4 linked regions of the Arabidopsis thaliana genome follow. The protein of the gene in region 1 interacts with the protein of each later gene in a pairwise test. Each region holds a gene or a part of one and is shown on either strand. Other genes may lie near its edges.

The links.
Region 2: the proteins of AT2G29180 (region 1) and AT2G16595 interact in a protein complementation assay, tested with the Arabidopsis thaliana proteins (one large-scale study listed by BioGRID).
Region 3: the proteins of AT2G29180 (region 1) and AT1G63580 interact in a protein complementation assay, tested with the Arabidopsis thaliana proteins (one large-scale study listed by BioGRID).
Region 4: the proteins of AT2G29180 (region 1) and AT1G62330 interact in a protein complementation assay, tested with the Arabidopsis thaliana proteins (one large-scale study listed by BioGRID).

What each region holds. Positions count from the first base shown.
Region 1 is NC_003071.7:12,541,222-12,544,337, reverse strand, and holds AT2G29180 (uncharacterized protein), read right to left. Parts: upstream 1,406-3,116; 5' UTR 1,258-1,405; coding exon 928-1,257; intron 816-927; coding exon 636-815; 3' UTR 503-635; downstream 1-502. Other genes in the region: PUM2 (pumilio 2), read left to right, coding at 32-78; AT2G29170 (NAD(P)-binding Rossmann-fold superfamily protein), read left to right, coding at 2,058-2,149, 2,243-2,474.
Region 2 is NC_003071.7:7,196,279-7,200,903, reverse strand, and holds AT2G16595 (Translocon-associated protein (TRAP), alpha subunit), read right to left. Parts: upstream 2,778-4,625; 5' UTR 2,542-2,777; coding exon 2,478-2,541; intron 2,372-2,477; coding exon 2,219-2,371; intron 2,140-2,218; coding exon 2,089-2,139; intron 2,004-2,088; coding exon 1,918-2,003; intron 1,500-1,917; coding exon 1,422-1,499; intron 1,334-1,421; coding exon 1,130-1,333; intron 1,046-1,129; coding exon 974-1,045; intron 866-973; coding exon 818-865; 3' UTR 519-817; downstream 1-518. Other genes in the region: ROC3 (rotamase CYP 3), read right to left, coding at 1-42; AT2G16594 (Bifunctional inhibitor/lipid-transfer protein/seed storage 2S albumin superfamily protein), read right to left, coding at 2,822-3,130; AT2G16592 (Bifunctional inhibitor/lipid-transfer protein/seed storage 2S albumin superfamily protein), read right to left, coding at 4,328-4,625.
Region 3 is NC_003070.9:23,575,307-23,579,009, reverse strand, and holds AT1G63580 (Receptor-like protein kinase-related family protein), read right to left. Parts: upstream 1,682-3,703; 5' UTR 1,678-1,681; coding exon 918-1,677; intron 818-917; coding exon 756-817; 3' UTR 524-755; downstream 1-523. Other genes in the region: AT1G63570 (Receptor-like protein kinase-related family protein), read right to left, coding at 2,706-3,703.
Region 4 is NC_003070.9:23,044,997-23,050,866, reverse strand, and holds AT1G62330 (O-fucosyltransferase family protein), read right to left. Parts: upstream 4,100-5,870; 5' UTR 3,903-4,099; coding exon 3,441-3,902; intron 3,046-3,440; coding exon 2,953-3,045; intron 2,871-2,952; coding exon 2,771-2,870; intron 2,678-2,770; coding exon 2,616-2,677; intron 2,525-2,615; coding exon 2,436-2,524; intron 2,328-2,435; coding exon 2,207-2,327; intron 2,118-2,206; coding exon 1,974-2,117; intron 1,900-1,973; coding exon 1,562-1,899; intron 1,473-1,561; coding exon 1,232-1,472; intron 1,123-1,231; coding exon 814-1,122; 3' UTR 530-813; downstream 1-529. Other genes in the region: AT1G62333 (uncharacterized protein), read right to left, coding at 189-401.

The sequences.
Region 1 (3,116 bases):
TGTCTCTAAGTGGGTTTTTTCTCATATACAGAGAGGAGGATGGCTTTGCAGTCCCTAACCCAGCCTCAGATGGCGTAAGGCCGCAAGTGTTGTACAGCTTAACTAGGGTGGATGGCTCTGCCATAGCGTTTTGAGAATTAGGTAAAATCTAAACCGGAAATAATCTGCGGGAAAATTGTGAAGGAGAGCTTTGTTTTCTCTGCAAATCTGTAAAATTGTGTAGTTGCTTACGGTTTTTCTATACATAGAACCAAACATCCCACTTTAGGCTGATGAGTAAGAGAGGAAATATGCAGAGAATGGTGTAAAGGTGGGCTGAGGTATGGTGAGGATTTTAGGGTTTCCTTTACACGAAAGAGAATGGCTTTTTCATTGCCAAATGTGTAGAAGTGAGAATATGTTCATGCTTTTAGGACAATCCTAGTGTTTAGAGTTTTTTCTCCATCTATGTAATTTGTTTCATCAAACTCTTGTTTCCTATTTCACTAGTAACTCTTTCGTTTCTGTAATATTGCAATATTTTTGTTATATCGACCATCAAGTTGCTTGGTACACAAGAAACATATCATAGATGTGACAATCACTGAGCAACATTACAAACAAAATCAATCTTTGTCTCTCTACTACACACAAAATCACTCAAGATCAATGTCGATGTCATCATCTTCAATCTTCTGACCAAAACCTCTTGGTCCAGCTCTGGCTCTCATTGCCTTCTTCTTCCCACCTTTCTTAGACTTCTTTGCTGCCTCGTCTTTCTCAAACTTCTCTCTCTCCCTCTTCCCAAGAAACTCAGTCACTCCAATGTACACAACCTGTAATGAAATAAAACCGGTTTAGAGACTCACAAACCGGGCTTCAGGTTTGGTTCTGTATTTTGATTTGACATAGTTTATGGATAAGATTGGTTTTGTGGATAACACTTACACCAATGGTGAGAACCGTGAGAGCAAGAAATGCAACAAAGAGAAGCACTTGTATAATCAAAGCAACACCATCTTGTCCACCACTAGACACAACTGCTCCAGAAGAAGAAGATGAATCAGAAGAAACGATCTCTTGGGAAATTTCTTCCGGAGTTGCAGAGACTCTCCATAGTTGGGTTTTTTCTTGGTGAAGACGAAGAACCCTAAAAGACAAGATCTTTCTTCTTGAAACAGACCAAGAGAGTGGAGATATATGGTGGCCTTTAACTGGAGTTTGGAATCTTGGTCTGAAATTTGAAAGAGATAGAGATGGTGTTGTTGTCGCAGACATCTTTCCGTCCACTCCCACACTCTCTGATCTCTTCAGATTCTGGACATAACCCACTTCTGTTTGGTTACATCCAACGGTTCATGTTTTCTTGAGATTGAGAACAGATTATTGATGGGCCAAGAAAAGCCCAATATATTATTTTCGTGGGCCTTATATTTCTATTAGTTTTTGATTATGCATCATTAGTTACGCCATCATCACTAAACTACAGTCTTAAGATTGTTTACTTTGATCTCTAATTTTTCTACCCACCACAACAGTCACAACGTCAAGAGATACGTTAGCTTTCCTCAATTTCTTCAAACAATCTCATAGCCTCGTATCATTAATTCATCATAAATAGCCATTTTTCATTATCATTTCTCATCAAAATACATCATTACACAACAATGGCTAGAGCAGAACAGAGCTCAACCCATGTTACATGGGGTCTTTAGTTTTTCTCAAACAATGAAACATGAGTCGATCCCATGTAGTTGGGGCTTAACCCTTAATCGAGGCCCATTATTTTGAGTAACCTAAGAAAAACATCAAAAGGCCTTACTGTGTACGAACGTCATTACTCATTATTATCATTCATTCATTCATTATGAATTTTTCTCAACCATAAATTCAGATCTCCAAGAAAATATCTTTGGGTCTGTGGCTCATAATCAGAGGTGGCTAAGACATTCAGACAGGGGTTTCAAAGGACAAAGTTAAACAATTCACGTAAAAGTATCTTTGGCCACCCTCACGACTAGTCTTCCACCTCTTGGCCTTAAATATGTGACCTTCATTGAAGAAAATAGTATCCAGAAATGGCTAAAGCAGAAGAAAACTTGAGAGACAAATGTAGATGGAGCCTTGGAGGCATGACCGCTCTCGTTACCGGTGGCTCCAAAGGCCTCGGGTCAGTCCCCCTACTAATCCAATATTGAATACATTAATATGTCATATTACATATTTGCACGTGTCAATATGTATACAACTGTGTTATGAATAGGGAAGCTGTGGTGGAGGAACTAGCCATGTTAGGAGCAAGAGTCCACACATGTGCTAGAAACGAAACTCAGCTTCAAGAATGCGTACGTGAATGGCAAGCTAAAGGGTTTGAGGTCACCACTTCTGTATGCGACGTTTCTTCTCGTGACCAACGAGAGAAACTCATGGAAAACGTTGCCTCTATCTTCCAAGGAAAACTCAACATCCTTGTAAGTTTATGTATAAGAGCATAATGCATAAGGTTTTGAGCAAGATCAAGTGATTTTTTTGTTGTGTATTTGTTGGAAGTGATCAAGTCATCATCTTATTTTAGAAGAGATATATTATATAGTGAAGTAACTGGTTTATATATATTCGTATCACACATCGAAGAGATACAAATATAATTGTTAACTACAAAACAGTTACATGTGTGTATGTGTCTCTACATTAGGTTGTCTTCTAGAGACGTGTCCCTTAGTCAAAGTGTGTCATGTAAACCTATAAATACAGTTTGTATATGTAATAAAAGTGTGTGGTTTTCGTTTTATAAAAACAGAGTGAAATATAGAGTAAGACAAAACAGAGTAAAATCTGTGTTGTCCGATCCTTAACAACTTTGAGAGTTCAAAGTTCTACATGGTATCAGAGCTATGGAGACAACAATGCAGCAAGTTATTCCAATCTTCAATGGTGAATCGTATGGCTTTTGGAAAATCAAGATGATAACCATCTTGAAAACAAGGAAGTTGTGGGATGTTATCGAAAATGGAATTACGTTGAGTTCGTCGTCTGAAAACTCACCGGCGTTAACTAGAGAGCGTGATGATCAAGTGATGAAGGATATGATGGCTCTTCAGATTCTTCAAAGTGCAGTTTCTGATTCAATATTTCCG
Region 2 (4,625 bases), 5.3 Mb from region 1:
ACCGACGGTCATGTCGAAGTAGACTTTAGGGTTTGTTGCCATTTCTTTTTTTCTCTGAGATTGATTGGAGAAGAAGATTAGGTTCTGTGATTGTGTGAAAGAGATTAGGGTTTTGGTAGTGTTTTATAAAGAGAAGGAAATGATTTTTGTGACCGTTGATTTTGACACGTGGAGGAAGATTGAAAGGGTTCGTGTTAACTGTGGTTAGTGTTGAATCTAACTAGGGTTAATAGTTGCGTGGATCCGAGGCAGAGAGAGAATATTGTGTTTTTTTTTTCTCTACCTTTTTACTGGATAAGATATTAAGTAGTCGTTTCATTGATTTATTTACGGGCCAGGAATATTAAGCCCAATGTCGTAAAAAGAAGCCCATTGGTTTGGAGATAAATAAGAGTTCCGATAATGTACATGTACTTAGCCCAAACCACTCTTAAATAATTGTAGAGACTGAGAGGATTAGCTTCATAGAGCATCATAATAGTCTAATGACACAACTCTCATATTTTAAACCTTGGATTATACGATATAATTTCCAAATACAAAATTTCAACCTATATTGTTAATCTAATGATTATTCAACTTTTCTTTACTATATACATGAACTTTCGAAAGAGAATTATCATTTTAAACAAAAGAAAATAATCTTGACAAATTACAAAAGTTAAAGAAAATTGTTTCCTTGCAACATCTATAGCTAGAGAGAGTAAAGAAAGCATTACAGATTCTGTGAAGTTATCTCTACCAACAACTGCAACGTTACTATCGTTCGTGTGTTTTCGGTTTCTTATCTCAAGCCCCCTAACAAAGCGTGTGAGATCTACTTCTTCTTCTTTGACTTACTCGAAGATTGAGTGTACGAAGTACCCTGCATTACACAATACATTGAGAGCAATGTATCAATACCAAAATGTTCAATACATTAAAAGTTAAAACCCATTATGGAGAAAGTTATTAGGTCTTGTGCAACGAATACCTCAAGCCATTCATCATGCGAAGCATCTTTAGTTGCGGTTCCAACTTCAACTTTTGGTGCTCTCTTTGTTTTCTGCGCAAAGCATTTTCACAGTAACCATTCTCAAAGTTAGTACCATGGAATGAAAGTGCGATAAGATAGCGAAATAGGATGTACCTTGGTCATATGCTTCAAAACATTTTGGATATAGATGGCGAGAAAAGCGATAACAAAGATTAAAAGACCACTAAGGAAGACTGACTCCATTCTGAAGAGAGGACCATCTTCAACAACTTCAATAGTTCCATTATAAAAGATGCTTTGGTATGGCTTACCATCTATCTCATAGATGATGGTGCCAACAAAATCAAAAGCACCCGCCTGCACGAGCAAATGGTTACCTCGGATTCTATTCTATATTTTAATGTCATCTTGGAGACTAGAAGAACTATATGATTAACAAACATACCTGCAGGAACTTGCTGACAGCAAAAGCATATGGCAAGGTAGCTTGAGCGGAAGTTGGCACAGACGCGTTGCTGAAACTCTACATTTAGATGATTCGACAAAATGACCAAATAATAAGTAGCAAACTTAAAGAGCAAAGGCCAGAAAAGGAAAAGAGGAGAAAACTCTATATTCAGCAAAAGCCATTGTAAGATTCTATATCTAGAAATGAAATGGAATATAGCTAGAGCCAAAGCAAGTATCTGGTATCAAAACATAAATGATAAAGATTAAAGGCTAGAGAGAGACTTTCTTGCATTTAGATACAGGGATGTAACAAGTTCAGGTATTGTTACTAAACCATGAATGACCTAACAAAGAGTGCATAGTGTGGAGTAACATGAGATGAGACAAAACAGGCAATGAAAAGAACCTAACAAAGGGAAAAACTAATATGGAAAGACAAGTGAGATCACACAAGCAATAAATGTGAGAAGAAGCAAAAGATGATTAATTACCAGAGCAGTGAGATTCTGAACAGCATTTTGATCAAAAGGAAGATGTAAACTGCCTTTAACAGCAACAATATCTACATTGGATTGACCTATTCATATAACCCAACCACAAAGTTAGAAACTTTATAGCTAACTTTGCAAGTAATCATTTGATAGAAAAATCACTTTCATTACCATCATTTTTCATTCCAACAAGCAGCTCAGTCTCAACTCCAGCTTTTATTACTACAGAAAATCAGACAAACCAAATTGAGAAGAAGCCTAATTTCAGAAATTAGATTAAAAACAGAGTAAAAATCTGTACTTTTTGCACTGTTCTTGGGGAAAACGCAAAGGGTTTCAATTCCAGGAGCTGAGGTAAGTTCCAAACCAAAAACTTCCTCTGCATCACTCTCTTCTTCACCAACATCAGAAACTTCGAAGCCAGAATCTTCCGAATCCGATTGGCACAAAGCAACTAAAAACAAACAAAACCCATCACAATGAATTCAAACAAAGATCATGTGAACAAAAACAGAGTAGAATCAGCAAATGAATGAACAAGTAGAAGAGAAAGGTGTTACCTTTGAGAAAAGGTGAGACAAGTAGAAGGAAAGCGAAGAAGAGAAGTCTAAAACTTGTCCTCATGATGGTTTTGAGATTGGTTTAGTTGAATTGATCTTCGTGGGTTGAAGTAAAAGGGCGAAGAAAGCAAGAAGACAGAGGTGCTTTTGTCTTTTGACGTGTTTATGCTTTCTTCACCGACGTTGACGAAGAACGACATATGAATGTGAGTGTGTGTGCAGATCGGATTTTGTAAACGACGTCGTTTTCCGACTTACCAATTTAGAAACACCTTGCCCATAGGTGTTATAACATTTTAGTACAAAGTGTCATAATTATGGCCGAGGAACATAACCTATAACCCCTATATTTTTGGACAATTGGGGACAGAAATATGGCAAAACCAGAATATTCTATGAGCAGCTGCGTTTAGATTCTGTTCCTTGGCCGTAAGGAATCTACACATGCATGATGTTGACTTTTTCATTTTCTCACAACAGCCTTTAGGCAGTTTGCCTCCGTGACCGTTAACTAGAAAAGGTTGGACGCAAGCTAGAAGATCCAGATTGCAAAATGGTAGCTCTTTTTTTGCACCAACGACTTTGATCGGAGAAGGAAATGATGCTAAGATCATCATGATGATGGCTATGAGTATCCATGGACTGATCTTCATTGCTAATGTATTAGTAACTCGAAATTACAATCAAAATAAGATGAGTTTACTTTGTAGAAATTAATAATCTTTGTTTTCTTCATTTTTTAGATGTCTTTAAATAGAAAATTGAGAAACAAAACAATATGGGAAGTCGGAGAGATGGAAGGATGGTTGTCCTATTGTTAGCTCTGTTTATGTGGAGTTTTATTCATTAAGGAGCTCGTCACGTGTCGTCAGCTGCTCCACTATCTCCTAGATATAGGACCCCATGTTCGGTCCCGAACTATACCATATGAAAGTATAAACTAGTATAGACTTGGATGACCAAAGTTGAGTCAATTATAATACATGGTGAAGTATGTATACTAGAAAGCAAATTCTACAAAACTCAAATAGACAGGAATAATAACTTAAATCCATTCACAAAATATCTGCTTGAAGTAGAACTTTGAACCATCTTGAATGGAAAGTAGAATAGAATTGAGGCAGCCACGGGATATCCACCAATGGTTTGATCCACAGAATCTAAGGTTCGAAGCTTGAATGGTCGGATGGATGAAGGTAGTGATGGGGATGGAAGTTTTGAATGAATCCACACTCACCATAAAATTTAACAAATAGATTGCTACTTTAGTTGTGTTATACAACTGTACGGCTTCTCACAACATCGTATATATGTACGAATGTATTTTAGAATACTGCCTTTGAGGAAAAGTGAGGCAAGGAGAAGGAAAGCAAAGAAAAAATGTATGATCCTTGTCGTCATGATGGTTTTCAGATTGGTCTTAAATTGATAGTGGTGGGTTGAGGGCGAAGAACGCAAGAAGACAAAGGTGGTTTTGTCTTTTTGACGTGTTTAATGCTTTTGGTGTTGACGAAACGACTTCGTTTTCACTTGTCAATTTAGAAACAGATATTACTAGCAGAGATCGATAACTCGACTTTTAAGGTACCCTGGAAAATGCTAAAAAGTCACAGGATCAAGTGATATCTGGAACACGTAAAATGTCACAGGATCATGTTTCTGTGTGTTAGTTACAAAGGTGGATAAAGTATTAATAATAATTTTCGCTTAAATGGTTATATGTTTCTTAAATGGTTGTGTATTGAAGCTCAACTTGTGTCTCTCGAGCTTCAATCAATCATGTCGTAGATATAGTCGAGGAACATAACTTATGTATAAAATAAATTAAGAAAAAACCATAACCTATATCTCTAGATTTTTGGACAATTAGGGACGGAAATTTTGCAAAACCAGAATATTCTATGAGCAGCTGCGTTCAGGTCACGTTCCTTGGCCATTAGGAATCTACACATACATGATGTTGACTTTTTCATTTTCTCACAACAGCCATTAGGCAGTTTGCTTCCGTGACCACGAACTTTAAAAGGTAGGACGCAAGGTAGAAGCTCCACATTGCAAAATGGTAGATCTTTTTTGGCACCGACGACTTTGATCGTGGCTGGAAATGATGTCAAGATTATGATGGTGGCGATGAATATCAATGGAATG
Region 3 (3,703 bases), on another chromosome or scaffold:
ATATATAAACTATTATATTAGGAATAATACAAAATTATTTAAGCTGGGCAGTGTACATGTTTTTGGTATTATTGTCTGAAGCAAAACATAAGACTTGTTTAGGAAGACCCTTTTTTATGGGTTTAAGAAGACTCTGATTAGTTTTACAATTAGGAAGGCATGTTTTGATGCAGAGAAGATTATGAGGATATTAGTTAGTAGTTACAGTTGGAGATAACATAGAAAACAAGATATGTTTAGATCCTTGAATCGATCTCTGTCTTCCAAACTCTGTCCCCTATTCTTGATTCTTGATTTGACTTACAATTTCACGATAGACCATCATATATATATATTAGTATTATGATCACATCTATTTTCTTAAGACTGATAACAACGTTTTCAAAATGGCATCAATGATTTAACAGCGTTCTTAGCTTGAAATTTAGTAATTTAGATTACCTCAATTGCGCTACCACCAAATTAAGGCATGATTCGTTGTGATCATCGTATACCACCCAAAGACTTATGAGCACGTTCAATGCAATTTTTCTCTCTCCCCTATGATTCCATAATTAACTATGCTTAAATATACGAAGGAATGAGTACTGCGAGATAATCCCACTAATATAGGAGAACACATGATGCTATATCTCCATTCAATCTTTGACCAAGTCAACGTCGGTTTACTCTGGTTATGATCTTACCATCACCCAAATGGAGAGAACACAAATATAAATCAGTAGTTACAATCTTTATTACATCACTAGACTTGATCATAAACCCATTAGTAAACCTATCATGATTGCAATAAACGTTCTCCCAAATATATCATCTCCTGTAAAACCGAAAAAAAGGAGCAATTCAAAGCCATATATATCACATAAGTTCCATAGGGTGGGGAAAGGAAAAAACGGACATTATATACTGTGACTAACCTTTTGTTGTAACGCCAAGACTCGTTAGGTTTGGTTGCAAAGCAGAGATGTCATACCTCAGAAGACATTTAGGAAAGTGGATCCGAGCCCAACGAGATTGGCTGCAACATTCGGAGAATTTTTCGACCACAAGTCCCAAGCACACGGTGCAGCTGCTTGGATCAAGATCAGGACTACACTGAGCCATTGCCTCTAAATCATACGAACCTTCCACTTGAGTCACATGTTCTTTATCTTCCACAAAATATGGAACCGGTGACGAAAAAGATGAGGGGGCTTTGAGGATAAGCTCGTCTAATTTTCCAGGAAGTGTTTGATTGTAAAATTGCGGATAACTCAAAGAATCATTCTGAGAGTAACTAAAGGTGGCAGGTGAATCTTCTACGAGTGAAAAGAAAGAATTATCCGAGTACCGAACCATACACTCGTCAGAGAACATGAAAGATGTGTCATGAGATTCACAGGATTTATCCATTTCTAACGTTGCGGAATGGACACAGTTTGAACAAGATGTTTTGCTTATGTTTCCTATGCACAGGAACATGCCATAGACTGTGTTTGGGCTTAGACCGGCCGTGGCATTGAAGTAATAGCTTCCGAGGGAGGAATGATTACGAAGAGTGGAGAGGACGGTGTTGCGGTTTGATTGATAAGTGTCGGGAAATTGGTTGCAATCAGTTAGATTTTGAGAAGGTTGGGACATGGCTCCAAGAGAGAATAGGAAGAAGCAAAACAGGGAAACATCAATGATTCTTGTCATTTTTGTTATGACTAATGAGAAAGGACAAAACGTAACATAGATTTATATAATTAAATAATACCTTTGTTTATTTTATTTCATTCAGATCCGTAATGTCCACACATAAACGTGGTAGACGAGTTCAGAGGAAGAATCTATATATAACTATTGTTGTTTTTAGTTGAATATATTTCATATTTCTTGTATATATATAAAACGTTGAATATCTTTGCAGGTTCGATGAAGCAAAAAGTCAAAAGATAAAGTTGTCCATTGGTTTTGTGAAAGATCTAAACCCAAGCACAAGACTTGTTCATACATTTTAGTTTTTTTGAGAACTGAAGATATTCTGAGGTTTAGAACCACATGAATCTTTTTTTTTTTTTTTGGACTATAGACAAAAGAAAATCCAACGGGTAAGAAAAGATTAATTTATAATTTAAAAAAAAAATATATTAGTAGGGAAGTCATTAATGAGAGATATAGGTGTTTGGTTTTAACCTTTTTTCCGTCAGCAAGGTGTTTTAGGTATTTTGAGTTTTAGATTTGACATTTTTATGTAAAGTTGCAATTTTATGGAAAAGATAACAAATAAAAACCTTTAAAGTAAAAATATGGACATGCATCAAACTCCATTTCTTCTTAACTTTCTAATCAATCCATATAAACATCAGAATCAAACCTAATTTTTTTTGGGGGAAAATATTAACATTTTTTATGATCATAAATCATAAAAATATAATACACATCACACAGATTAAACGTTATTTTTTATTTCACAAATCATTTATTTAAATTAATCCATAAATCATCACATTTGGTCCCAAATCCACAAGTGCAAACACCTTAATGTCACGTCGACCCGTTTTCATTAAGCTGGCATTGTAAAAGCAATCCACGCAAATATTTTCCTGCCACAAACGAAAAAACACAAATTAGAGTAAACCCTCCTTATCAATAGTATGTGAACTATTAGGAATAAATATTTGATTAAAAGTTCTAAACAATACATACAACAATCATATATCTCTTTTCAAGAAAACCACGGATTAAGTGCTCAGCGGGGGCGGTGGTTGCGAAAGAGGAGGCGGCAATTGAGGCGGCAGAGACAGAGGAGGCGAAGATGTCGGAGATATAGGAGGCAGAGACGATGGAGACGGCGCTGGTGATGGCAAAACAAAGGTTCTATATCTCAAAATACATTTAGGAGTAAAAATCAGAGCCGAACTTGGTACACCGCAACAAGTTGAAACTGTTGCATACGCAAATCTGAGGCAAATGGTACAGTTTGATGGATCAAGATCAGGACTACACTGAATCATTGACACTAAATCATATGAACCCTCTAACTGAGTCACACGTTCTTGATCCTCCACAAAATACGGTATCAAAGTTGACGGAGAGACGTTAGGAATCAGTTGGTCTAATTTATTGGATAGGGTTTGGTTAAACCGGTTTGAGTTTGGAGCAGAACGAAGAGAGTAACGAACGATGACTGGTTTACTTTCAAATTCAGAGAAGAAGGAAACATTTGAGTATCGAACCATACACTCGTCGTAGTATATGAAAGCTCTTTTGTTAAGAGTACAGTTTGTAGCGATCTCGATTGCTGCGGTTTGAACACAGTCTGAGCAAGATGTTGTGTTGATGTCTCCTCTACAGAGGAACATGCCATAGACTGTGTCGGGGCTGAGACCGATTGTGGCGTTTAAATAGTGTACGAGCGAGGAAGTCAAGCTGAGAGTGGTGAGTAGGATGTTGCGGTTTGTTTCGTAGGAGCTGGTTTGTGTGAAGCTGTCGACGCTGCAGAAAGTGTGCATGTGTTGAGGTTGGGACATGGTTTGGTGAGATAACAAGGAAAAGAAGAAGTAAAACAGAGGAGCAGTGAGTATGATTCTTGCCATTTTGTTCTGTATTGTTCGACGAAACAGAGGAGATAGAGAATTTATAGTGGAATGAAAAGAGCTTTTCTTTGTTGATTTTTTCAAAATAGTGTCTAAATAAGGATATGGTAATACCAATTCAGAGGAAGAATATGTAAAACTAG
Region 4 (5,870 bases), on another chromosome or scaffold:
TGCTCCGTTTCAACCTACCACCCTGCGAAGGTTGAGATACATTCTAATTACACATATGAAGGATGATTACACAGATGAGCCTAATACACATGAAAGTGTTACACATATGAAATCTTTAAAGATCTAAGATGTTTCGACAATATATATTTCGAATTATATACTTAAATAGACCAAAACATTCATGACGACTAATATGGTGGTCTAGGAGGGCGTGGCCCAAGAAGTCCTGGAAACCAAGTAGCTCCGGGAAGTGGAGGTGGTGGATCAGGTCTGGGAGGAGGTGGAGGTGGTGGCTGAGGTCCTGGAGGAGGTGGAGGAGGGCGAGGCTCCGGAGGCGGTGGTCTTGGTGGCGGTGGATGGTGGAAAGGAGGAGGATGACGATGAGGAGGAGGATAAGGCATTTTGTGAATTGTTATTGCAATATCTGTCTTGTGTACTAACTTAGTTTATATATAACATCAAGATGAAGAATCATTGTTACCGACAAGTCTTTGAAGTGTAAAACAGTTACTCATTAAATAAGTGCTTAGTAGAATGGTAGTTATCCACCTAATCCTTCAAGCTAACTTTAATTCTTCTGGAAGGATTTCATACTTATGCATGTATAGAGAGATAAATTTCATACTTACCACCGGTTTACCAAACCCAATCTTAGTATTTCCAGCATCAAAATACCCCCAAAACCAAATACTAATAATACCATATTGGTACCAAACTCAAGCTTGGTACTCACTAGAATGTGTAGCCGCTACAAATGCCATGAAAAATATGAAGACCGTTTAAAAAACCGAACCAACAATGTAAACCAAATAATCAATCTTCATTACACATACATTCTTTACATCTTGGATAACGGTAAACGCTGCGTCCCGTCGGTCTAACCAATACATGTTTGGTTTGCCTAACCGTTTTTCTCACTCTCTGCTCGAACACTTTCCACTCTATAGTATTGTTCTTCAACAATATGTCTGAGAATCTCCGTTTGTTCGGTCTGATCGTCGGCATTTTCCCTGCTCCGTAATATATCCGATAACCCGAGACCAGAGACGACAATTGGCTCCCTGAATCCGTCATCGCAAAGGCGTCTGATGCAGCGCATGCAATGAAATCAAGAACCGCTAGCTACATAACCAGAAAGAAAAATATGCAATTCTTCGGTTTAGTTTAGCGGAGAAAGTTAACCGATAAACCGAAAAGGAAGTTTTGACGGGTTTTCTTGTTTTCATTTCACCTGAGATGAGAAGTTCTTGAAAGGCTCTAGCTCAGTTTGTGAGAGTACATTCTCTTTGGTGACTAGATTCGGGTAGAGACTCGTTAAAGCTGCTAACCGTTTATTCCCACCATATATATTCGCACCAGCGACGAAAACACGTGTCTTCCGACTAAAACCCAGACCCGCAAGCATAAGCACGGCTTCTTCAGGTGATAAAGGACAAAGTCCTTCTGTCCTCAGATCGTCTGGAGATGGCATTCTGCATAAGAGAAAACAAAAGGGCATTCAGTGAGATACCAAAACTGAAATAATAATGTGAAAAAGAGTTAAGAGAGGAAAGGAACAAACTTTTGCGTCTTTGTTAGATTTGCCAACGTCGGGAAATGCTTTTCCCGGTAAGCATCAAGCTCTGCCTTTTCCGCATCACCTCCTCCGAAGTAACAGAGAGAATGAGCCACCATATCAATTTCAAACCTGAGATGGACTGCTAGATACTTAGAAGCCTTATGGAGAGGACCTGCTTTCTTGTCCAATATGAATGACGCAAATTTTGGACCGACGAGATACGGGTCAACTGGTGCAAGGTGTGATCCACTATCTCGTAATCTCCTTACGAGTATCGCACCCGTTTCTTGTATCTTCGGAACGAAGTTTAGCGCATGAAAATTACATCTACACCGCAGCCTCTACTCCCCAAGAAAAAGTTGGATCATTACGGGTAATATATCGATATCCACGGTGCTAAAAGAAGGTTCTTTACCTGTAACTCAAACGGTATCGGGTCAAAGGCCAAACGGTTTCCGAATCCTAAGAAATGGACGACTCTGTTTTTGAGTAGAAGAGGAAGAATGTGCTTCATATAAAACCCGGGCTTGGCTTCTTTCATGACATCTATATCCGTAACCTTAAAAAACGACATAAAAGAGAACTACATTAGAAAAAATACGAAGATGAAATCGGTTTTTCACACTAAAAGCGGTGTAAGGAACTTACGACGCTGCCAATAGCCTCAAGATCTAGAGACTGAAGCTCTTTGGGTAGTTTCTTTACAATCCGGATATCAGGAGAAAGATACTTTATAAAGTGTTCCACCTGATAGATATCTCCAAACTGACTATGAAACATATATATACCATTCAAGAGTGTTAAAATTTGACGTTTTCAAGAAAGCATCAATTATAAGAGAAGGAGACAGAGAACGGAGGGACCTTACAATAGTTACCTTGCATCGGTCCAGACATCGCTGAACATAAATTTAGGAATAACGAGTGTCGCATTTAGCATCCGCGCAACAACAACGATGTTACAAACCTGTTTTAATAATGTCCCCGCGAAATCCAACGGTTAGTCAATATAAAGAGTGGGACATGACAAAGTAATGTGTAACGCAATCAAAACTTACAGCAACTCTCTGTTGGTTGATCCCACCATTTGCAGTTACCATTATATATCCATTTTTACCATCTAAACTCCACACACAAAAAAAAACACAAAAATCAGAAAAACTATACCTATATAGTACGAGAAATAAACTCATTGAGAGTAAGAGTAAGAGACCACTAGGCTTCCAGGAACGTTGATCAGCACAAGGCTTCCAAGCCAAAGCTTGGTCCTTTGGTTCTCTCCACAACTCTTTTGGTTCAAGCTTGTTTTGCCCCTAACGAACACAATGTCTCGGTCAGTAGGCTTTTCGGTTTCGGTTTAAGAATTCGAAATGTCGAAAGCGGAAAGGATAATACCTCAGCCAAAGCATGAGCAGCATAAGCCAACAATCTACCATATGTTCCATTATATGTCTTCTTTGGTTTTCCCATCTTTTTCTTCTCTTTATGCTACCAAATCATAAGTCACTCAACATCAAATGAAACTTCCATAACCATTAATCCAAATGCAAAAATCATGTAATATATAACATTACACTACATAAACTTACCATTTACTACAATAATTTCATACTTCACCTAGCAAAATCTCAAACATGTAAACTTTGTCTCCTAACCACAGCATTTTCACATTCTAACTAACAAATCTCAAACAGAGGATTTTATTTTTCTCTAACCAAATCTGTATTTGAAGTAATTGTATATTAGACAAAAAGTTTAAATTTTTACACAATTTAACCATTTGGGGATTTGAAATTGATTTGACAAGAAACAGACTGTTAAAAAGTTAAAGTTCACAGTAAACTGACTGACCAATCACATTATTAAATTTTTAACTAATTTACCTGTACATTCGCCGACACTTTAACGGATACCCGTTTCACACTCGAGTTCGGATCCGGGTTCAGTTTCGGTTTAAGATTCGTTTTTTTCGAGAATCCTCTCCGTAGCCAAGCTCGACCTTCATGGAGCTGAGAGAGCATAAACCAATTAACGAAAATGAAGAAACCAACAAGTACGATTACAAACGCGGCGGTTTTCGCCGTTCTGATTCGTTTCCTTTTTGCTCTCTTAACCGGATTTTTCAAATTCCGGTTTGGATCTCCGTTGATCCAAGACAAAACCGACCCGATACAATTCGACCCGGTGTTAAGAATCTTGTCTCCAGCTACTTCTGAAAAGCGGGTTGGACCGAGACGTGTCGGTGATTGAACCGGTGAAGCTCCTCCTCCTCCATGGATCAGATCTTGGACTCGAAGAACATCGCGAGTCTCTGGTTTCTCTTCGTCTGGTCTCTCAGAAGACATGGCTAAGCTCACACTCTCTCTCAGTTCTGTTCGATCGTGAGAGATAGATTTGCTGAATTTAACGAAGCTAGCGAAGAAAGAGCGAAGTGAGTGTTTTTTGCTCGAATTTCAGTGAGGATTTTTCTTCTTTGTCTGAACGTAATTATTAAAGTTTTTTTTAAACCTTGAGATTGACGCTGGTATTAATTTAAGGTCCCTGTCCTTTAAAATCATTTTAATCTTTACCTATTATTTTATCTAATACGAAATATAACCCTACGTATGTCCGTTGTGGTTTCAAAGTTATAAGAAATTGATCAAGTAGACTGTTCTTAGTAGTTGTTATCATTTCTTAGAATTAATAACATTTTGGTAAGACAGAATTAATAATTTTGTTGAGTATTTAAGATGAATAATAATTTTTCATTTAGCGATGTGTAAAGTTGGATTAGCTCCTACCAACTACGTAAATAATAAAATTGAAAACTAGTTTATTACTACTATCTACAGCTTGTTGAAGCTATATCTATGAAATTTGAATAATTTTTCATTGTGTTTCATAACATAAACAAGTAGCTAAACTAGCTGTCAAAAACAAAAATAGTTGCAAGCATGTGTTTGGTATATTGGGCTTTTTGTGTGGAGGGTTTCAAATACGCTTTCTGCATATCAGAGTAATATGATTTTAATTGGGGCCTAGACATCTGTTTTTGGTGTTATATTAATTAGACAAGAGTTAGAGAACTTATTAATTTCCTTTTGTCAGGCCTTTTTTTTTTGTTAAAGGAAATATAGCACATGCAGACACTTATTAACTTACTTTTTCAAGATAATTAAGTTAAGAATTTAAAATTGTATTTACAACCATTTTAATATATGTATATAGCAATTGATACAAATGTTTACTTTTTCGACATGGTACTAGTACTACACGTCTACAAGGACTAATATAATGAGAGTATTAAAAAACAATTGCAGTTTTGATGTAATCCCAGATAGTCTTAACGCACGTCCTTAGATAAATTTCTGTGACACTGATGAAAGGTGGTTATTAAAAAAAGAAAATGAAGAAAAATGTAGCTAGATTATTCACATTGATTTGGACGTAAGAAAAGTAATTCGTATTGGGAATAAAATAGACAAAAAGGTGATTTATACTGAAGAATATGATTATTAAAAAAAAACAAAAAAAATTATAGACTTCAACGTGATGGCACGGTATTTGCCTATTTTCATTATTTTCTTACTTGAGTAGTATTAGTAACAATTTAATTAAGCTAATTTCATGATTTTTTACTTTAGTCAACTATGAAGTCATTATCTTATTTTAGCAACAAAGTTATTATTTTAGTTATTTTAATCTAACTTTATCTCCAAAATAAGCATGGGTATATCTAAAACAAATAAGATAGATGTGTAATAATAATAAAAAGTTAGAGCTGGTTTAAGTTTAATTTAGGAATAAACCCAATTGGGACATTTTTTTGAAATGAAACTTTTTCAAGGAATAATAATAGTCTCTTGAGTTAGACGGCCGACCAACAACAACTAGATTCAAAGATTTTAAAAAGATCCAACTTTTTCATCATCTTCTTCTTCTTCTATTTCTCCGTGTATTTTCAGCGTTTTGTATCAACAAAAACGGCACGAAGTTTCTTTTCTTCTCTTCCCCATTTTTGTGCTGTTAACAGAACCAATCTCTCTGTTTTTTCCATACTCTGTTTTTTCTTCCCTCTCTCTGTTTCTGTTTTCAGAGGAAGGAGAAGAGAAAACTAAAGAAACTTGTGCAATACTTTTCCTTGAAGAAAATTTAAAGATTATATTCGAAGAAGCTTTTATACAAACCACACAAATCTCCACTTCACCAATATGATTTCTTGATTCATCTCATATTATTTTCTTCTTCAATCTGATCGCAAGAACATTGTGAAAAAAAAGAGTCAACGAAAGGGCCAAATTTTTTTGAGTAATGAGTTTCTAAAGGTGAGA